3 linked regions of the Drosophila melanogaster genome follow. Changing the gene in region 3 together with the main gene of any one other region gives a genetic interaction. Each region holds a gene or a part of one and is shown on either strand. Other genes may lie near its edges.

What was found.
Region 1: of comm (region 3) and Sdc, changing one suppresses a phenotype caused by changing the other (phenotypic suppression), as found in Drosophila melanogaster (one study listed by BioGRID).
Region 2: of comm (region 3) and kuz, changing one suppresses a phenotype caused by changing the other (phenotypic suppression), as found in Drosophila melanogaster (one study listed by BioGRID).

What each region holds. Positions count from the first base shown.
Region 1 is NT_033778.4:21,477,152-21,484,014, forward strand, and holds the start of Sdc (syndecan), read right to left. Parts: upstream 4,026-6,863; 5' UTR 3,863-4,025; intron 3,228-3,862; exon of another isoform or gene 3,206-3,227; 5' UTR 3,033-3,205; coding exon 2,940-3,032; intron 1-2,939. Other genes in the region: Sara (smad anchor for receptor activation), read left to right, coding at 5,074-5,892, 6,042-6,863. UniProt on the Drosophila melanogaster protein: Cell surface proteoglycan that bears heparan sulfate. Required for axonal and myotube guidance, is a necessary component of slit/robo signaling and is required in the slit target cells.
Region 2 is NT_033779.5:13,547,291-13,554,078, reverse strand, and holds the start of kuz (kuzbanian), read right to left. Parts: upstream 3,941-6,788; 5' UTR 3,786-3,940; exon of another isoform or gene 3,659-3,785; intron 2,938-3,658; 5' UTR 2,477-2,937; coding exon 2,413-2,476; intron 1-2,412.
Region 3 is NT_037436.4:15,721,257-15,730,697, forward strand, and holds comm (commissureless), read right to left. Parts: upstream 7,175-9,441; 5' UTR 6,949-7,174; coding exon 6,441-6,948; intron 2,016-6,440; coding exon 1,411-2,015; 3' UTR 255-1,410; downstream 1-254. UniProt on the Drosophila melanogaster protein: Controls axon guidance across the CNS midline by preventing the delivery of Robo to the growth cone.

The sequences.
Region 1 (6,863 bases), on a different chromosome or scaffold from region 3:
AATCTAAGAAATAAAAATGTAAATATTTAAGGATAAACAATTTAAAGAAATATGCAAATAAAGAATCTTTGCGTTTCAGCAACTTTAATGATTCAACTTGGATTCAGAGCAACGATCAAATCTGCAACTCAAATAAAACCTTAAAAAAATCTTTTATTCAAATTTCCTTCACCATCTACAGCGGACAAAAATCGGAATTTGATTACCCAGTTCAAGGAAGTGTTTGTTGTTTAGGTAGCCAGATCCACAGAATCGATCGAATGGAAAACCCAATATCGGCAGAACCTTATCGCTGTCTGTCGCCGTCTGGCAATGTGAATCGGTATTCCAAGAAAGGAAAATAAACACAAACAGCAGGCAGTTGGTAGGGATGCGGAAAACGGGAGGGAGCAATGCAAAAGGAGGCGTGGTACATTGGGTTTCCACACCTTTGAGGTGAGAGGATGCAACCGAGTGTTATCCCTTACTAACTTCCACACTTAATTACAGTTACATTCAAAAAAATGCTACTACCTTTATATCCTAATTGTTATATTAAAATGTTTAAAAAAAAAAAATTAAAATGTTTTTACGCTCGTATTAAGGGACATTAGGATATGGCCATAGATAATGGATTTATGCCAACTTTGTAAATGAGGCAACAGCTAGCAACGGAAAATAGATAGTGTGGCACTTGCAGCAGTCACAACCATTAAACTTGCACCCTCTTTCCGGTGAAGTTATAGCCATCTCTCGCCGTGCTGCTCATCAATTTTCCGGGCACGTTCTCAAAATGTTTTCGACGACAGGGAAAGGAGCTACGAAGGAGCCGAGGAGGGGGGCATAACCACGAATGCCAATTTTGGCAAAAACAAGTGACAAACACCAAAAACAGGACACAAGATGGAAGGAACGGCAAAAACAAGATTACAGACTGCTTTAGATGGGTGAGAGGGGCGGGCGGGCGTTTGCGAAGGGGTAAAAGGCCATCGCACTATTTATGTGCAAGTAGTGTGTGTAGAAATTTTTCGGGCCAATAAGTCACACACCAATAAAGGCAAACAAACCAACAGGCAAGCGAACAAACAAACAAACAAACAGGCAGTGAAAGAGGCAAACACAGCCATCGAAATTGGCAATAGCCGGATGCTTTTGTTGGCAACAGACGATGCCAAAGATCATCGTGACCAGTAGCAGAAGTTGTATCAAAAACTGGCCCAGAACCCAGGCCCAAATCAAGAAGTGCTTTCCAGTGATGAGCTGTGGAAAATGCAACTGTAAACTCTTTGCGGAAAATGAAGAAAACTGGCTGTTAAATTTTTACCGTATCTCAATAGAACTTCTAATTTCGGATAATTAACTAACAAGAAAGCACGGAATGTAATAAATGTGCTAAATTACATAAAATACTTGGTGAAGATAAGAAGGAGACATTAATATTGCCCTTTGGGCTTGCGGCCTGATTCATTAGCTGGTTTTATTATCAGCCAATAAATCTTAATGTGAGTAATTGCGCTAGATAACAAGAAAAGCTGATAAGTAATCCAACTCAAGTCTTCAAATTAGTTTTTAGAATTTAAGTGAAATTATGCAGTTTAAATCCAACTTTTGCCTTCACTAATACATAAATGTCAACTTGGCAATTGTTTTAAGCAATTTACACAACTTGCCCATTAATTTAACCGGTTTTGCTAAGTTAACACCCTTTAAAAGCAGAGTTTACAATCGGTAAATCTAAATTAAACTACTCAATTAATGACAAAAATACTGTGTGATGAGTGGAAAACACCAAAGAGGCCAGTTTCGAATCTGTAAACAATTTTCAAAACAGCACATTCAGACACCAAATGATCTCATTGGGCAGAGCAGGTGATTAAAGAAAGCACGAGAGACGAATAGAAAGGAATTCGTCGGAAATTGAATCATCTCTATATCTCCGAGTAGCATTCCCCATATGAACGTGGCGGCATATCTGTTTCTGTGGCGGCACTCATCTCTCATCGCTAATGGGTAACAGTCGACAACATCGATGGATGGCTGGATGCGATGCGTTGGAGTCGATGACCATTTCGGATTTGCAGCCTTATTTGACCAGCAGCCGCCTCGTCCTCTATATCGATATCTATATCTATGTATAACTATCTATATATATATATTGCACAGTGCCGATGTCTGTGCGTCTAGTTCACTGCCATATTTATGCGTTCGCAATGCAGACGTTTTTAATGTCTTTTCTACAAGAAGCCAAGGAGTGGAGCAATGGAGCCAGAAGCTTACGGCTTACATTCATCGGGACATGGAGGCCTTTCCTCTTCATTATCTGCAGCCACAAATTGCATTCAGTGCAATGCCTTGGAGATTGACCATGCCCATGCCCGTTGCCCGTCAAGCCTCTGCCACATGGTACATGGGTATATGACACATGTATCCACCTTGGGGCTGCCGAATTTTGCATGATAAGTGCAACAACAAGAACAACAAGAACAACAGAAACAGCATTGGACAACCGCAAACCGCAAAAACAACTGAAGTGAACAAGAAATCGAACCGAACTTGGAGTTCCGAACCCTCTCAAGGTGGCGAAAATTGGGAGTTCGGATTGCTGATTGAATCTGCCTCGATTTAATTGGTAAGCAGTTACAAGCAGCAATGGGCTTACGCAACTATGCTTTTGAAAGGGGCCACTTAAATGCTCCACTTTGTGCCCAAACTGGTGGGCATGTGTATGTCGTTACAAAAGGATAGCAATGTCTAATAATGACCCATTCGTAATTAATCAAGCTGTGTGACGTATTAATATGAATAAGCATTCAATGGCCATTAAAGCCACATTAATATTATCACAAAGTCGGCTAAATTTCGGTTGGCCAGGTAAACTTGAAGTTGGCCATTGATTTTGGCTTATCTCAACGTAAACTAATAACATTTGGTAGTTTCGGGTGTAATTTTTGAGATCTTACCTGATCTTGAGCGTGGGTGGCGGCTACCAGAACTCCGATGAGAATTGCGACTAGCAATAGCGGCTCTACGGAAATCTTCTGCTTTGGCTTCATTTTCCCCGTTGGTTTCTTCTGCGGTTGCTGTTGTTGTGATTTCAGCTAATGGCTTCCAGTTTTGTTTATTGATTTAAAGATTAGAACTGGCGGCGGCACACATATATAAATATATATATTGAGCTATATATATTTCTTGCAGCTTTTTAAACTGGTTTCACACTAGAAGAACGCTGTTTAAATACACACATGAAACTATGATTATTATGATTATTTATTTTCCAGACACACACTATTCCCGATGTGTTATCAATCGAATTGCAAAACAAAAGAGATAGCGTTGGTTGGAGAGACAGGGTATTAATTAAGCATTACACACTGTAAAATTAACAACAATTTATCGTATGCGCGCGCGGCTAAAATCAAAGAAAGGAAGTAGAAGAGCGGGGGTAATAAACAAAACGTTTACGCAGAGAGAAAAACACAAAAATAAAGAGGAGACAACAGCGCAACTACTGTGTGTATTGGTGTGTGTGTGGGTGTTTTAATCGAATTCGATTTTTGTAATTTATAATTTTAAAAACATAAAATTTAACAAATTTTTCGTATAATACACTGTATTTTCCTTTTGTTTTTCTGTTTTTCCCTTTGAATCCAGAGATTTTTCAACGAAAAAAAACACGACCGCCCACCACTACAACTACACCATACGCATTCGTATTCGCTCTCCGTCTCCTCTCGCGCCCTCTCTTTCCCACTAACGCCGCTATGGCGGCTTCTTTATGTGTCTCTTTTCTCCTCTGCTTCGCCTGCCTCTTCTTTTCGTATCTTTCTGCCCGTTGTTTTGCTGCGTTTATTTTCGTTGCATTTATTTTTGCTATTTTGCGCACCTTTTCCTCTCCGTATTTACAAAATTGCACTCGCGATTCTTTTCGGGGATGTACAAATTTCTTTACACTCGAGTGCCGACCAAACAACAGACACGAAATCGCGCTAAAATCCGGACGTAACCGTGCCTTCTTCGCTCCGTAAAATTTTTTCGAATGACTTGGCCAATGTTACCAGATGCAGAAACGACTCAATTATCCAAGCTGTGCATTTCCTAAAAAATACCAATTCTTATGCTTAGCTGGGTGATGACTTAAATAGACACTCCGAAACGCGTACTCATTTAAAATTTATATATTTCTGTTACAATTTCGCGATTAAAAATGTTACTTTAACATCTTGAATTTTTTTGGTTTTATTCTTATGTTACTGTTTGTTTACATGATTTGCTTAAGATATTATTATAGAATTATTAAATGTTTGATAGGCAAATAATAATTCAATCAAATATAATTAACATTTTGAATTCATTTAAATCGGCAAGATTTCATATTTAAATGCTTATAGTATTTTTCTTGAGCTAAGCTGCGGTTACACTGATTTACACTGTTTCGGTTGCTCGTACGTTCACTGTTATTCTGTGATACTGTTAGTTCAGTTGTACAACCCAACATTTTTTTAAAAACACAGACTGGCGGCTAAAATTTCCCAGACCCAATGTTAATAGATTTGTTTGAATTCATACGCATTAATATTGAACAATTGAAGCATTCATATTCGTGTAGGACCCGACAGCTTTTACCTATTATTATTTTCAAATTTGAAAAGGTGTTACGGTTTATGTTAACATTGTAACAGTAACAGATTATAGAGAAAGATAGAACGAGATAGCATCATAAAATACTAAATGAGAAAGGTGCTAATTTGACTTAATTTTTTTTGTCTTTGCAACACTGTTTCCATGGCTATTTTTAGGCAGTTTCTTACAATGTTTTTCGTCACCGAGTTTTTGTTAATAAATTAGCGAGAAGAAAACAAAGTAAATAAGGTGATTGCAGGTGCTTAATATTGCTTATTAAAGGCGAATACGTCCTTGTTTTCCTCATTGCCTTGTTATGACTATATTCGAGGTGTGAAAAAGGTATGAATCACAAGACCGTTTTTTCTCCACATCTTTTTGTGTTGTTTTTTCTCTTTTGCGTTTTTGTGAAAATGCAAGCAGATAAACCTGGTTGGTTCAATTTTATTTAAGGTTTCTGCGGATTTGGTGGCCATGGACTTGGTGGACATTGATCAGGTTTTGGACAATCTGGAACTGAGCATTGCCGCCGATGAGCAGCTGAGTAGAAATGCAGCGGCAGCAGCAGCTGCAGGTGCAAATCCTGGCCGTTTTCTGGGCGACGGAGCAAGTGCATCGATCAGTGGAGTTGGAGCTGGCGCCGGAGTATCGGGAGCTGCGGGAGTAACACCAACACCGGCGTCTGGAAAGTCCTTTGTGGGCGTCTCTCAGGTTTTCAACAGCCTGGATGACTACAGGGAAAATGTGAAGTCCTTGCAGGTGGATGCCCAATTACCCAGCTACGACTGGCAAACGGAGGCGGAACACGAAGACGACATCCACAAGTTCAGCGAACAGGCGTCCAAAAATAACGGCCAGACGATAGTATCGTCCTCCGAATCGCTGACCACCTCATCCTGTTCCACCTTCTCGTCGGGTCCGTCGCCCGTGAGCAATGGCAGTCACTCGGAGGAGCTAGCAACGCCCCCCGAAGATGAGAAAACGAGTGAAGTTCAGGTGGAGCCAAAGGAACAGGATCAACAGCCGGAACAGGTCAAGCATGAGGACCAGCACCAAGATCAGGCTGTTCCACCGCCAACGCAATCCAAACAAACTGTAGAGGAGTTAGCAGTTGGATTGTCATCCATCTCCATCACTGCGTCCGGCACAGAATCGCAATCCCTATTGCCGGAGGAGGTCACCGCATCGTCTGTTCTCGGGCAGGTCCTCGAGGAGCTCTCGGAGGAATCGTCGCCCAGTAGAGAACCCGAAACCGAAATGACCAACGGCATAGATGTCCCATTGGCCAATTTAGTAAGTACTATTACCTTACTTTGTTTGTGTAAATGACTAATAAGTGTAGCGCATTAGTTTAAAAATATTATCAGCTTCATAAATCAATTAAGGTTATAAACTATCTTGACATATAGTATAGTTTATTAATAATGGTGTTACATTTTCAGCCAGCATCTGTTGCGGAAGTACCGGTCCCTAAAGAGATGGAGCAGCCAGTACAAACGGAAGAAGAGGATGTGGAGCTGCCACAGGAGCAGCATCCCAGGCGTAGTCAACCGTTGACCTTCTGCTCCACCATGGACGAGATCTCGGACACCGAACTGGACAGCATGCTGCAAGAGATGGATGCAGATGACAACCAGGCGGACGATCAGCAAATGCCCGACGATGAGAAATCCTGCTCCGCCTCGCCAGTGACCGAGGAGGAGTCGGTGCGGATTCTATCCGATGAGCAGGAGACAACCTCGAACGATCAGATGAACGTGGACAACTTTTCGCAGGCCTCCACTGTGGAGTTTGCTGATCTGAAGCAGCCGGAGTCCACACCAGTTACCGCGATGGGAGAAGATGTAGCCTCCAGTTTCAGCAGCACGGAATCGGATTCCCTTTCGGGCAGGAAACTAGATGGCGAAGTGGAGGTCGATCGAGAGCATGAAGATGCCAGCCTGGCAACGGATGCCCTGGAAACCCAAGAGCAGCGCCCCCAGCGACCACAAACCCTAAATTTGAATGGTTGCCAGGCAGAAAGTTCCACGCCATCTCAAGATGAAAATCCCGAAATTCAACAGGAAACTTTGCAGCCTACCGAAGTCAGGGAAGGAGCGGCAGGAGTAGGTGTTATACCCGGCGAGGATGACGAGGAAAGTCCTATCTACGAAGCAGTGGGCTACAGCGATCCGCATGCCAATCTGGGCAAGGTGCCACCCATATGGGTCCCGGATAACATGGCCGGGCAGTGCATGCAATGTCAGCAAAAGTTCACCATGATC
Region 2 (6,788 bases), on a different chromosome or scaffold from region 3:
ATTTACATCGAGTCACGCCCTTTCATTAAAGCTACTCATCAATTTGAAGTGCCAGGCGCTTCAGTCATTCAACAAGCTTAAGGGATTTATTCACCGCATGTATACATTCGCATATAAATGCTACATGTATGCATTTCATTTTTTTATTACATTTTATTTCATTTATTTGGCAGAGGCACTCGGCAAACAATAAATGTCAGCCGCCTGGTGATAGTAACACACTTTGCAATGACAGATACATTTGTATCTGGCAGATACGACGGCAAATACAGAACAAACGCGTCTATCATCTGGGTCGGATTCACCAAATAAACCCACGAGTTTTGTGGGTCATTTTCTTTGTACGAGTATATTATGAAACAGCACGAAGTTCTTCATCCACGGTCACGTTGTCATCTCTAGATTTCGATGGTGGCTTCATTATTTGTTTGTTTACTATGTTGCACTCGGCACGTACGGGAAATAAAGCAAAGGAAAATTGCATAAATGCCCGGGCAAAGTGTCCATTGTTCTCTGGGCCCTATCATCCTAAACTCTCCTCCCATCCTAAACTCTCCCACATCTCCTATATGTGATTTATGAAAGCTTTTTGCCCGACTGAAATTATATTTGAAACAACTTTTAGTCAACAGCTTATCAATAACAATAATAAAATCCGGAAAAACCCAGATGTGACTCTAGAAACTCATTTCACTCGTCAGCGAATCTTCAAGTTTTTTTTGTCTCTTTCAAGATCAAAAAAAAAAAAAAAACGAAACCAAAAAACTGCAGATAAGTTACGTAAAAAGTAGCCGCAATCTCAAGCTGAAACTAAGATACGGATACAGTATCTTTATCTTAATTCCCAGCTGTATCTTGTTACTGTATCTCAGAACTGTTGCTTTTCACAGCATTTTTGGTTTATATATTTCTTTCGCTTCCGCTGCTTATTTGTGGGAGAAAAACTCTTCTCCGATAGCTGTTGCATATATATATATATATATTTTTTTATAATTTTTTCATTTTTAATCATTATAATATGGTTTGTGCAGCCCAGACAGATAATGCCGAGACATTGACCTTTTTCGCAGATTTTTTGTTTGTCTCTGGCCTTTTCTATTCGCCTCGCTTCTGGGTTCTCGGTTCTTATGTCTGCTCTCTTTCTTTGTTGTCAGATTAGCCGGCCAAGTGGATAAACCAGTTTTTGCCTCCGCCACTCTTCTTGGCTTGATTCTTGGCCCTCAATCCTCACTCTTTTACCCATGTTCATGTTGCTTGACTTTGGCTAATTAGCCAAGAGTGGAAGTTGTTGTCATGATCCCTCGCCCCGCCTCGAATTTCGTAACGTTGAACTTAGGAAAATCTTGCCATGCAAACAAATTAGTTGAAGTGGCGAAAAAACGGTCTTCAATGCAGTAACGACATTTTTTTTATCACAAAACACAATATATTCATAAATTAAGTAGCACAACTCTGATATATATATTTATATATGTAGATGTATAAGCTAAATGTTTCATTCCTACTGTGTGTTTCATACCGAAGTATATAGTTTTAAAATTTTGTAAGTCCCCTTTTGTTAAACCCAAGCTAACGATTTCACAATAAAAATGGATGAGTCCCCTGAGCTTTACTCAGGTTTTCATGACTCACGTTATACCTTATGCTTTTCGCCTTCTTCGCTCTTTTTGCCCCAACAATGGACTTGCTTTGTGGAAATAAATAGGTAGAATCTGAATTTGTATATTTACATGAACATACATACATATATGAGTAGCTAACTTAAGTGTAAAAAAAGTACATTCACGGCTATATAGATTGTTATTAGAGTCGGTTGAGTTTGAAACCTTGGCACCTGCAAGTGAGAATATTGCTGAAAGCAAACACTCTGGGTCACAAGAAAATCATTCTGTCAATTCGCTTGGAGTGACAATAGCGAAATTAAATTAATTATGCAAAGCAACCCCATTTGTTTAATAACAAAATACACCCACAGCATAGTTAGGGAGGCGAGAAAACCCAAAGACAATTACCCAAAGTGTCTACTAAAATTATAAGAAACCCTCTGTGTTCCACCCTCAAAACGATACCCTTCCCCTTCCCCCTAATATCCTTCACTCGTCAATTATCCTGGCAAAGTACGTAATTATTTTTGTTGCTCGAAGGGTTCTGGGTGAAAATGTTAACTTTGTTTCCGCCTGATTGAGCACTTATTCCAATGTTATTGTCTATGCGTCATTTGCAGCACCCTCGGCTGTATTTCATTTTAAGCCCCGATTGTTGTGGTTTCTTCGGTTGCCAGTGAGTCAAGTGCAGAAAAAAAACACCAATGCTTTATGTATTTTTAAATTAAAATATTTAAAAAATTATATGAAATAGGAACGGAAACCATTTAGATTACATTGTTAATCAATGTTAGTTTTTCGAACTTACCATTTACGATGATGATGAAAATGATCGATACGAATACAATGTTGAAAGCACATTTTGATGACATTATTTGCGATGGGGATCCAACGTGGATGGCTGTCGACTAAACAGAACTAGCACCAAATTTCTGCTTGCTTTTGTTTTATTTTTTATTTTTTTTATTTCCGCGAAGGTCGTTGATTGGTCTTAATAATTTCCTTGTGGCAGTAGTTGGTTGCGTTATTGGGCGGCACCTCGCACTCCAATCTTCGCGGGTTTTTTAATCAGAGCTTTGCACTTTCCATGCCATTTACAAATTTAGCACTTTTTGCATGGGCCATAAAACTTCGCAGCACTTTTTCGCACGCACGAATTATTTTTGCTATTTGTTGCAACTTCTTTTCGAGCTCTTGTCACGTACACTTTTCTTATATTTTTATTTTTGTTTTATTCCAATATTTTCTCGTTAATAAATTAAAAGCGAAAATAAAAAAGAAAAATCTTCTTTTTTGATTGATTTTGTGTGTTTATTCACTGGATTGTTTATTTCTGAAGGCAGAAGAGCGAGACATTTTGATTGATTTAATATTATTAAAAATATACTATTTAAATATAAAAATAGGCAATTTTATTTGTTTTATTGTTTTTTTTATAATTATGTTTTTTACTATTTACGCTATATTCATAAGTTCGGTATGCGTTTTTTCTTGTTTAATAAGTTTATGAATAGTTGGAAAACCAAAACATTAGCAATACAAACAAACATAAAATCACAACAAAAACAGCTATTGGCCTTTGCACTCACACAGAGGCAATGAGCAAGCGCGGAGAGGAGAGCAAGAGAGGGAGATGCAACAGAGACGACAAAGAGCGACGGAAGACGGAAAAGGAGAGAGCGACAGCTGCGGCGCAAACGCAACAAAATGCATTAAATTAATTATTGTTGCTTTTAAAACGCTTGTTGTTGCTGGCACAAAAGAACAACAAATCGATTTGTTTACAATGCTGTTTCAAAATAATTAAACAGAAAAATGTTTTCGTGAATAGTATTATGTGTAGTTTAACTTCGCAATAGGGCTAATTTAACAATGTTTTTGCATGTTTACTTATTTTCGTGTGCCTCGTCTTGTACTTCTTTCATGCTCTCTCTTTTATGTTGCTTCTCGGATTGCCTCTCTACATTTCTCTCTCTCACTCTCGTTTGCTATGTGTTGCCAGTAAATTAAATGCGTTGAAATGCAGCCATTTTGTCTCCGCAATTGGCACTCACTTGAACTCCGGTCGAATTTTTTGTTTAGCCACAATTCTCAATTGGCCAGAATTGGGGGCATTTTCTTTGATTAGCGCACATTTCTTAAGCCTGACTTGACGATATATATTTATTTTTATTCGCTCACCCGCTCGCACATTAGCACACACACACACACGAACGCACGCACACATGCAAACGCACGAACACGCGTCCAGCGATTTTCCGACTCCCACGGCGTTCCGAGATCCGTTACAAAGAGTTACGCGTCCAACTCGCTTGGTGGTTTTTTTTAAACTACCCGATTTCTCACCACATATACAAATGTACTTCAGTCTTAGAGTGACCAGTATCATAAAAAGAGATAATCTTTCTAATGCGTTAGTTTTCGTGTGCGTTAATACTGATATTGACGAGAGATGATACAATGACTCATCGTATTCACTATAGTATATTAATAATAGTTAGATTCATTAAATAAAACTTATTTAGGCAACAGCACTTACTTTTCAGCTAATTAAACATATTTAAACATTATTGATACTTACGCATAAGGTATACAGCAAATACAAATGTTATTTATGTTATTTAAATTAAGCTATTGCAAAATAATATTTTAAACTCTAAAGAGAATTTGTTTAATTGAATTAAAATTAAAATCATTTTGTTTTGTGAGCTTGTGTACTTCTTCGTTCATTTACATAAATTTTTTTTTGAACACTTAAATTCAAAAAAGGCGCCAAAATTACTTTATTTTGCAGCCCTCGTCCACTTCAACGAAAATATTTTTACGCCTGGTGGCAACCTTTATCATATGGAACCAGTGTTGCCACATTTGATATTTTAGATTTATAATGAAAACTATTAGAAATTTGATATATTTAACAAATAAGCTGTTTACATCAGAAGCTTGTTTTGTTGCTATGCTAATAAGCTGGATAGGGCCATTTGCTATGGTTATCTACTGATTTAAATTTGCCTATCGCTTACTGTGATAATTTGAGTATACGTTAAAATACAACCATTTTGAATCGCGCGCTCATTATTAACATGCTCGGATTTTTTAGTGATAAACTCGTTAAGACGCTCTGAGTTGTGTCACCTGGCAACACTTCGTCAGATGCTCATCGAGTGTTGCTGCGGGTGGACGTGCTCGCTTTCTCTGTCCGTTACCGTTACCTCGTGTCTGCGTTCACGTATCCGTGTGTCTGTCCGCGTTCCCCGTCCGTGTGTGGGTGTAGGTGCGAATGTGTGTGTGCCTTTGGTCGCGTGTCGTCGCCGCTTTCATGTAAACGAAGATTGTGCAAAAGGTAAACGCCAAACGGTGGCAACAACAGTAAATGATAAACAGAAGCGAAACAACTAGCAAGCGCAGCAACAACCACAACAACACAAACAGCAAAGAAGCAAGCAAACAAAACTTGTGAAATACTTTTTGTTTATTTTTTTTTTATTTTGGCCTGGTCTGGTGGCAAGTGGCAAAAGCTATAAAAAACGATTCTCGAAAACAGGTTTCCTGCGTGAGCGAGAGAGAGAGAGAGAGAGACCGAAGCGTTTACTGCAAACTAGAAGCTCAACTGCTGCCGCACAGTGGTCACTACAGTTCTAAGCTTGCCCCACTGTGCGCCCAGAACTTGTTTTCTTCTTCTTTTCATTCGATTCCCCTCCCCACTCCTTCGTTCCAACTGCAGCTAACTACTCCTTTCATCGGGCGTTTTAGAATGCATATTTGGTTTATGGGAAGCTCACATGCAGCGCCCCCCGAAATCAATACGGAAAACGGTTTTTCCCGAAAGAGCCGTTACTTTTCGGGAAAATCCCCATTCCACGGCACCTCGGCTCTGCCACAAAAATCAGCTGGCTCGGCAGTCGGCGCAGCTCTGCCGGCGTCGGCAGTGGAGGGACTGCGTCGGGCGCCTAGCAACAGAGGTTAAACCTCTGACTACAGGGACGGTTCACGCTTGGGCGGTCAAAATCTCGGGGAGCAACACGTTACATAAGGTGGCTGAAAGTTTGTCAACCTCAAGTTTGGTTACTTGTGTGTCTAGGCATTATGTGATTGTTAAAATCACGTGGCTTATACAATTGTGGTTGAATATCTTATAGTTTGCATTGTTTTTAAATTTTTTGAAAGTTCTTATAGCAGAATATTCTCTTAACCAGAAGATGAATAAAACAAAATAGTAAAAGTCCAAAAACGCTAAAGAGCTTGATTTTTTATGATACCTTACTTGAAACTTCCGAGATTAGCTTTTTGCCCCTCCCCGATGTTGAAGGACTTCGGTCCTGGTCCCTACCGCCGTCAGCTGTGCGCTCAGTGCGCAGGCGCCACACACACACACACACAGATGTGCCAGCCACAGGCAGCAGGAAGCAGGCAGAAGAAGAAGAAGAAACAGCAGGAGCAGCAGAGGAGGAAAAAGCGGACCAGCCTGCTGGTTAACTGCCTGACTTTGGCCCGCAAAATTGCATTGCTGGCGTCTCGCTCGCACGCACTTACTTCGGCAGTAATGCCGGAAAATGGGAAAATGTGAATGTGAATCGATGGTGGAGGAGGGCGGGCGGTGAACAGCGCGATGTGGGCCGAAGTTCGCAGTCGGCAGTCGGCAGTCGGCTTTACATAAGTTGACGTCCGTGGCAGGCGGTCTGCTCCTGGAATTTCAGTGCCCGGCTGCAGGTCCTTTGCTCAGGTTGTGTAGACGCGCTTTTCAGTTTTTCCGGTGGATCAGCTGCTGGCGCTTTGCAACTGGTTCGGATTTTCCTTAATTTTCTCTGCGCTACCCCTACTTACTTTTGATTTGTAAAGTTTTCTTTACTATTTTTGTATTATTTTTGGTTTTATTTTTTAATTGGTTCTGCCCCTGCAAACCGGCTGCAAATGGCCAAAAGGTTCGTCGACAGTTTTGTGTTTTTTCAGCTGTTCGGCTGGTGGAAGGCAAAAAAAAAAAAATAAAAAGTGGTTAGACCTCTTTTTTTTATTACACTTTAATTTGGATTTTTTGCCATTATTTATCTCATTTCTCAACTATTGCTATTTGCCGCCTGCGTGGGCCACTTTCAAAAGCTTTTTTTCGGGGCTTCCGTCGATTAGTTTTGGCTTTATTTATTTATTTATTCCGTATTCGACGAATCATAAAGCCAAAAAAACTTG
Region 3 (9,441 bases):
GCCTCCAATGCCTTCAGTGCCTCCACCACGTCCATGCCTCTTTCAGCTTGGACTCATCAACAAATCGTACATTTGAATACAAATTGCAGCATTAAAGACGCAGAAGCTTCAACAAAAGTGTCAAATTTGACATGAAATTATTTATGCTCGCACGAAGCTTTAACTCGTGTTTTTAGTGCTGCTTTGTTGGCCGTTAGGTTCCTTGGGTCTTCTGTACACCCAATTAGGTTCATCGCCTGAGGAGCTGAAATCATCCCAGACAGGCAAATAAAATTTCAAGATTTTGTTCTCTTTTTTTTTTTTTTTTGGTTTGATAATATCTTTTCATATATATTTTTGCATAATTAATTTCTTCCCTTTCTCCTTTCCATAGTATACAATATTTATTCCGGTTGTTTGTTTTGTGAGCTTTAGCTTTAGATTTTACGCTAGTTAATGTTTCTATTTAATCGTAGTAACTGCAACTTTAAGAAACTGTCTGTGTTTGTTAGTTATTGAACAATGATGTCTTAAGGTTGGACAACATTTTTTATGTTGGAAATTGAAGTTGTATCTTTACAAGGGAAAAAGCGGGGATATCAAATATCAATGGATATCTTAAATGAATCGTAGACAAATATTGATGCCAGAAGATCACAATCATTTAATTAACTGACCATTTTTTAAGACATGCGCTTGTGTAATCAGCTTTATTTTCTCTATAAACTTTTCTGACTTAATCCGTTATTTGGCCAAATCCTTAAGTAACACTTAAAACGGATGCTGAAAAATCCTTTCAGCAGTGCACGTTCGTGGAGCATTCCCCAGCTGCACTGCATTTCTGCTGACCTAATCTCGACCAGGCGCATCCAAGTCACGTACATAATTTCAGAACAAAACCAAATCCGAAACCCCAAACGGCATCTGATATTTGCTCTGCCCAAAGTACGGATATCTGAGAGATTAGGATTCGTGCACTGCCAGCAAGGTCAACAATGGGAGTGGAAGTCGCCTAGCATTGGATATGATTTTATTTGGCATTGGGCGCAACTGAAAAACTGATAAGGAAATGAAAACGAAAATTTCAATTTAGTTTGCAATGTGTTCATTCGAGTTTTATATTTTTTCTTCAACTCTCGCTTAGATATTAGGGCTTAATCGATAGACAATTCGGTTTTATACATAGTACAATAAATAATACTCAGTCTTGCGTAATACAATAATATATAACAGATAACTAAAAACCAAAACTAAATTTTCTTAGAGGGAGGGAGAGGGTACATTCTCGGAGATATATGTTATTACATGGGGCAAACAACATTAGCAGACGATGCAACTATTTACAAGTGACTAAGCAATTGGGCTGCTACTCCCGGCCCTAAACCCTCGACTGACCCCTTATTCCCTGACCTCTGACCCCTGGGTGGGCAATCACGCGGCAACAACAACGACCAATGAGGCGCAATCATCGTCGGCAGGCGCCGCCGGCTGTAAACTTTGTGCTACTGCCACTGCAACTGCAATTGCGGAATCGGAATCTGAATTATCCACCTCCTCATCCTGCCGCCCACTTGGCATGTTAATGCAAATGGCAGGCGTTGCTGTGGCCAAGTTGCTGGATTCCGAAGAGGATGGCGACGCGGATGCAGACGTGGACGATGAGGAGTCGGCTTTATCCTCCTCCACTGCCGCTGCCGCTGACAGCTTGCACTTTTGCAGCTTATTCAGCGGCTCCTGCTTCTCCCAATTGGAAATGCAATGGTGATGATGATGCACGGCCGCCAACGAGGGATAAACGAACTTCATGCCGTAGGCAAAGTGCCGAGGCTGATGATGCAGTGCCTCATCGTAGCTGGGCAATCCGGTGGCGATTGTGTAGCAGGGCGGCGATTCGATTTGGTAGAACCCAGCCTCGCTGCTCCGATGATGTGGATGCTGCATCTGCTGGTGCAACAGCAGTCTGCTGGCATCGCAACCAACCAGGTGCGAGGAGTACGAGTCACTGGCCGCATGGATCTGGGCACGTATGTCCTTATCTGCAATAAACAGAAGACGGAGTTTGTTAGTTGAGTTTGTCACCAGAAAGTTTCTATTGTTTAGATGGACAGAGAAAAAAAAGGGACTTTTTGGGGCAAGCAATGCAGAAAGCACAAATTAAGATTCTTTAAACATTGAGATATAACAATATTCCACGTAACTAATAGTTAAAATTAAAATTCGTTTTTGTTTAAAATTTATTTCATGATACTATTTTTTTTCATTTCTTGCTGTGTAGGAATAGCGGAATGGGTGCTTCCCAATCAGGCATCAAAGTTTTGACTCTGTCATTACTTTGTTTGTCCATGTCAAAGGACATTTGTAGAAGGACGGGCCCGTGGCATTAAATTCAATTTAGCGTAAAGGCGCAAACGCTTGAACTTTCCCGAATGCAGAGGCAAAAAAAAAGGCGAAAAAAATGGCAAAAAAGGGGAAGCGGAAAGTTTTGTGCTGACCGGAAATGCCGGCGAGGATGGCAGGACAGGCGAAGTTCCTTCACAGCGGACTGACTGCCACCCAAGCAACAACAGCAACTAGGCAATAATATGCCGGAAGTGCGCGCGTGGCAGAATGGAATGAAATAAAATACTCTCTCGCATACACACAGACACACAGGCTCACACATACACGTTCGCCAACTGCCAACTGCAATGAAATAAAAGCTCGACAGCCCCGGAAAGTAGGCAGCAGAAAGCATTTAATTTTTATAATGCCGCAGCTGCTGTCCATGTGTGTGTGCTTGAGTGTGTGTGTGTGTGCATGTTTCAAATTAAGCAGAGTTAAATTAAGATTGGAAAATTCCAATTTCCATGCACACGCGCTCTAAGCCGAGGCCATCAAAGAATTTAATTTGGTTGTATTTTGAGTTACAGCAGATTAAAAATGCATGAAGCAATAATTTGCCTCAAATAGAATTTCGGCCCAGCATATGTGGCATTGCAAAAAGTGGCAGGTATTCAGTATTATTAAATGCAATTTAAACTGCATTCAATAAATAAATAGGGGATCGCCTCTGTCCATTTTTTGTGTCATTTAATTTGGTTGCCGCCTCGCTGTGGAAAAACTCGGCAATTTTTTAATTGTTCAGGCTGTATTTTTCATAAATTCTCTGTTCCCGAAAACGCTTTTTCAATTAAAGCGCATCTCGCAGGAAGGAAAGGTGGTCGGTATTTCGGTTTTTGTGGCATGGGGTAAAGCCTGTTGAAAAATTTGCGCATTACAATATTAAAACGCAGCGGTAGCAGAACCAGTCAGCAGTTACAGTGGCTGCCAGCAGTTGTTGATTTATTGTTATAACTGTAACACACACACACACATATATAAATCCTTTTTTTCGGCCAGAACACCCTACATGAGGACTCTGTCTCTTTGTTTTCCCTTTTTCGACTTTTGTTTCCGTGCTTTTTTCCTTGCTCTCTGTTTGATAGACAGCCGGCAAACGGGGCCCTGGACTAAGGGGGCGTGGCCCACTCATACACAGACTGCAGGCTTCATATTTTATGCAAGTGTTGAACAAACAGCCGCCCCTGAAAAAGGTGTACCCCCCCCTCCCCATCCACCAACTCAGCCGCTTCAAGCATTGCAGATGGACGCAAAGAAAGTCGGAAAATCGGGAAAAAGGTGGCCGATGCACGCAGAAAATTTATATTACTAACTAGAAGTCCTATGGTGATATCAAATGTCTTTTTTTTATTCACTTTCTATTATGCAAACCAGTTAGTGATGTTATTTTGAGGAAAATAAAATATCACTAACGGAACAAATATTTAGATACAAAATTTAGTTTTTATTTCGCTCTCTGTGCGGTTGGCAAAAAAAAATTAACGCCATTCGTTGATGCCTTTTGTTTTTCAGCTGCATTGGCACTTTGCCTTCTTTCTCTTTATTTTTGCATTTGTATCCTGTCTTTTTTCCCCATTTCTGTTGTCGATGCGCCCAAATGTATGCAACAATTTAAATTCATCGCAATAAGCTGGCACTCTCGAATGGAAACTGGCAAATGGAAAGCAGTGAGCTGCTTTATTTTGTGTTGCCATAAATGTCTGTTAATTTTTTAAACGCCCCAACTTTTCTGGCTTTATTCGATCTGAGTGGAGTTTTTTATTTAAGAATTATGATCATTGTATTTAAGCTGCTTTCAATTGTTATTAAGCCGCCCATTGAAATGGGTATTCGATTTCGAGTGTTTCCATTTTTCCCACACAAAAGATGCAGTCTCAGCCATTAAAACTTTTGCCAGCTCTATTATGTATGCCTTTCCCATACCACTAAGTGCTGGTCGGCTACAAAACAATTTGGTTAATTACAGCACTCAATTTGAGTTTGCCAAAATGGGGGTAAAAAACTACCAAAGCAACTAAAATATTTTCCATGGCCGAAAAAGAGAGCAGCTTCTAGTTTTTCTGCGCTGCTCGCTACGAAAACCATTAAAAATTTAAAAGGACTGCCGGGCTAAGAGCAACTTTTTCTGGTCTTGGGCAAATATGCTACGCTTAATTACATTTTTACGCAACTAAATTATGCAGGACCTATACAACATGATAAACAGTGGCTGTTGCTCCTCGGCTTGGCTTTGGCTTTAATTTAGTAACTTCATCTGGTCTGTTAATAAATTCAGTCGTAGTCCTCCGCTGCACTAATTGATAACAAGCCAAAGCCAAAGGACCGAAAGTTTGCCATCGCCAGTGTGTGTGACAGTTTAATAAATAAGGTGTAAGCCTGGCTGCCTGGCTGGCTGAATGGCAACTGGGCCAGACACTCTTGTGTTTGGGCCTCGTTAAGCATTTATAAGGTAAACACTGCGAGACGCCACGTAGCTGGCATTAAATGCACAAAAGCCGAAGTGAACTCCGGCCTAGTTGCTTAATTATAAATGACACACGTACTTCTCGTATCCCAGTATCCCAGTATCCCGGGCAACCTATCCCACCAACCACTTGCTATCTATCTGGGCCATAGGACCAGGGAAGAGCACACAAAAAAAAAATAGAAGCACAGAACACGACACTAACGAAACTAATTAGACGCATTGGACGGCCGAAAGCAGGCAACACATATCGCTCAAATTGATATTTCACGTATATATATATATATATATAAATGGAGCTTTCCGGATCCACCCTTCTTGGTCGCGTGTCGTAATCGCAGGGCAAAGTTTTTAAGGCTCGTTAGCACAAAATTGACAGTTTGACAGTTGAGTTGGCCAGGCTTTAAGGCCACGGCCCTTTGGCCCAAGAAGTTGTGCTCACAGTCCCAGGAACAGGACGAAAGTTTGCTCCTGGCCGTAGTCCTTCACTTGCTGCCCGGCCTAAATAAATCATTTGGCTAAATTGGTCTGCAAAAAGTTTGACACTTGAGTCGGAGTCTTGTTAGTTGTGTAGGTTGTTTAGCCAGCCCCTCCAATACAATTCCATTTAGGTTCTGTTCAGTTCTGTTTGGTTTAGTATGAGTTGGGTTCTTTGTTGTGGTGCTCCGTAATTATGTGTAAAGTGCCTAAACATATGATTTATTTTTGGGATTGGGATCAACAGGTTTCGAGCAGATAAGATATATATTTACATGGGCTCTATTTGGGTTGAGTGTTGGTAATCTGGGTCGGATTTAGGTGGGATTTTGATAACAGTTGTGTCAAACTTGATTGATTTTGGATTTAATACTGGACTGCCAGAGCTGAACTAAAAGTGTGAGAGATGTCAGAAAAATATGAAATTCAATTTTTAATGTTTCTAGGTCCTAAACTAATATCAAACAAAATAAATATTTTACAATCTCGCCCACTTACAAAGGCCACATTTCCTCAGACTTTAGCTACGCAGCTGAGTGATATGGTCCATCATTATTTTATTATATTACTCTTTACCGCCTCGGCCCCCAAAACAAAATATATAAATATCAAGGCACAATTTCACGCCTTTCGCCTGCAAAACAAATTTCGGGGCAACAATTCCAATTTTTCGAGGGAGAAGGGTCGACGAGGTCGTCCATATTCTCCAGCTCGTACATTATCGCTATCATAAAAGGGGCACAATGCCTCCGAGGCGAGTCAATTTAATATTATAAATATGCGGCACATATATTTTGTGGCATAATAAACTTGTGTATCTAAAATTACAACAGAACGATGCAAACGGCTGGCTGACAATTTCGAAGCGCGCCAAAAAATTTATGAGGCTTTGCGGCCATAGGAGCTCTATGGAGCAAAGCTCCCAAGCTGATGGAACCGATGGGTGGTGGTGGGACCTGTTTCGGTTGCTCTTTCTGTTTCTGCATTTTATATTGTTTAGCCAGCTGAATAAATGGCCGGAGATAAGGCTTTGGCGAAACATTTTGATTAAAGTCGAGCACATAAAAGCCAGATGTATGGCATTTTGGGGGCGGAAAATGAGTGGGGATTATATTTGGGTGGCTGTCCGACTGAAACTTACTGCATTTTTTCCAAGTGCGGAACTTCCTGTAGAAGTAGCAGCTGAAGAGGATGAAGACCAGCGACAGAATGACCAGCGAGCTGACCACTCCGATCCACAGATAATTGATGATCACATGCATGTCGGCATCCCCGAAGATCTGGCTCCACCACGAGGATTCGCCCGATTCCTCGGACCTATCCCGCAAGTCGGCCAGATCCAGAACCACCGACTTGGAGAGCTGCTCGGTGCTGATGCTGCCATCCGGAGACCAGCCGCTGGGTGGAGCGGGATCGTAGGACACCGCTGCGTTGCCAATCCTCTGGAGCAGGGCGTTGAAGGAGTTGAGGGCGTCGATGTGTCGCAGATCGTGGGCACTGGGTATCTCGAAGGTGATCTGATTCTGCTGCAGGTGCTCGGCAATTGCAGCGGGACTCATGCTGCTGGCCGGCGCGGATATGTACTCCGCATAGAGCTCTTCGGCAGTTGTGGTGGTCTCCACTGTTGGATAATCCGTGGTGCTAATCATGGTGATTGCCTTTGATTTATTTTAATTTGTAAACTTTATTTTCTGCTTGCGTCTGGCACACGCACACAACTGCTGGCACACTCGCGTCACGACACGTAAACAAATCGTTTGGCTCTATATATAAGTCATGGGTTCGATTTCGGGTTTTTTATTTGCCGTAGAGTTTCTATAGCTCGATTTTCGGTGCGTCCGTTCGCTGGAGCGGCTATAAGTTGACTGACTGCTAGCTGGCAGAGCATAATACCTACATCGGGTCGCTGAGAATGCCATGCCATGCGGGAAATTTGCCATTCCACTCACTCATTTTCTCGATTCACTCGCTCTTGAGTGAGTCGTGGGCGAGGCACTCAAGAAATCAAGTCAAGTCCTTGCTTAAAGAAGCATGCAATTTCTGGCATGTCTTTTATGTTTTTAAATGTTTGACGTCCTTTCGCCTTCTCCCTGCCTTATTTTTTGCTCTCCAGCTGACCTAGTTTGACCAAAAACTATATTTTCCGTACGAAAACCAGAGAAAAAAACGCTGTTAAGAAGGGAAAACTTCACCTCGGTCACGTTCGTTGTTTAAAGTTTTTCCAACGCTTTTCGGTCTTGTGTTTTTCCAGCAAATTGCTTTGTGGCAAAGTTTCAGTCTGTGCTGATTTTAATGAAAGGCAAAAAGGGGTTCTGAGGCATTTGATAAGCCTGAGCGCGAAGTTTGCGCCAAATCAAACGAAGAATTATGGCCAGCTAAAAGTTTTGTTTGGGCCATGAAGAATTTATGGAAATTATGTGACGTCTAGCTTTTAGCCATCTTAAACTAACCCAGTTTTCACTGGCTTTAAAGTAGCCCAGAGCCCAAACTGTAACCAGAACTCAAAATCTCGACCATTATGAGTCCCTCGAGCGTCAGGATACCGCAATGCTTCCTGCTGCCAGCAGTTGCTGTTGCTTCCAAAAAGGCTAAAATGGGGTACAAAACAACAAAAAATCAGGAAGGGGATTCGACCCACAGCACGCTTCATTTCTGCTCATGCTGACCATAAGCCGGCAGTGTGGCAAAAACTCAATGCACAAAAGGCTCCGACGACACAAAAACGTGCCAAAAATATCCTGCTCAGAAAGTGGAACAAATGCACTGCACCCGAACTCACTCCAATGTCATTCGAAAACCCACTCGAAAACCGGTTCTTCTCGGAGAGACTTGGACTCAAAAAGGGAAATTTTCTCCCACTTGATTGCGCACTCTCTCTCTCTCTCTCTCTCTTTTGCAGTTTTTCTCGCTCTCTCTGGTGAGTGAATTTTCCCATTTCCCTGGCGCAAAACCAAACTAAAAATGAGCAGTCGATGGCAGTTGCCTTTGAACTGCCCTGGGTTAAAGGTCACACGGTGTGTTGTGGGTGTTTCAAAATGTCAGAGGTCTTGGGCGGCTGGAAAATACGTAGTTTTTCCCGACAACTACAATGTGTAGTTTCGACTGCCTCGTAATTGCCAGGGGGAAATTGAAATAGATGCCCGATAATAAGCACTTAGCTAGAGACCAAAGTCACTCGATAAATGCATTAAAAACTTTTCCGAGCCCAGGCGAAAACTTCTGCACTGCACTTTGGCAAGCCGAGCTTATCGTTAATTAGCTTTCGACTAATTTTGAACTTGAGCATAAGTTTTAACTGCAGCGATTTTAATCAATGCGTGTTTGCGGGCATACTTCAGTACGTTGGGTAGTTCAGGGAAACTTTGATGGCCTAAATGCAGCTAGAAAATAATCATTTCCTTGGTATATTTAATAACTTGTTGGTCTTTGGTGTAGTCGAAATTCGTAGTGGTAACAAAATAAGTGGGACTTAATATAAATCAGGCTGTACAATAAGAATAATCATTTTAATAATTTTATATATTTTTAAAGCATGAAATAAATGCTTTTGTACAATTTTAGCAAACAATGGAATTAAGTTTGGCATCACAAATATTTTCTTATGCTAGCCCACTCACAAATGCAAACTATACTCGCAAACACTCGAAATAATTCACTTGTATACCACCTTTGTAGAATACCACAAAAAATGTCATCACACAATTTGATTTGTTGGAATTCCTCTTTGAGCTTTCAATAACATTTGTTCGCATTTCTTCGTTTGTAATCCAATTTTGATGGCAATGCAAATTAAATTCACATCACTTGACTTGTCGCATTCAATCTGCTCGGATGGAAAACCAACCCCGAACGATATTTTCCAACAAAAGTGGGGTTTGATAAACAAGTTTACACCTCTTTCGTTTGTGTGCAGCGAAGTATGAAACCTCACAGCCTGTCTCTGCGTGATTTTAATATGAATCCTTAGAAAATTGTGAATATTCTGTCTTTCAGACAGGAGTCACAAGGACTACTATGCAAGCGCAGGCAGATGCTCCGTGACACCCAGCTAAAAGTAAATTCATTAAAAATTCCATCATAAAAATACCTCGGCTGACGTGAGCGCCCGAAAAAAGGACGAAGAACTTGTATTCTTTTTACTA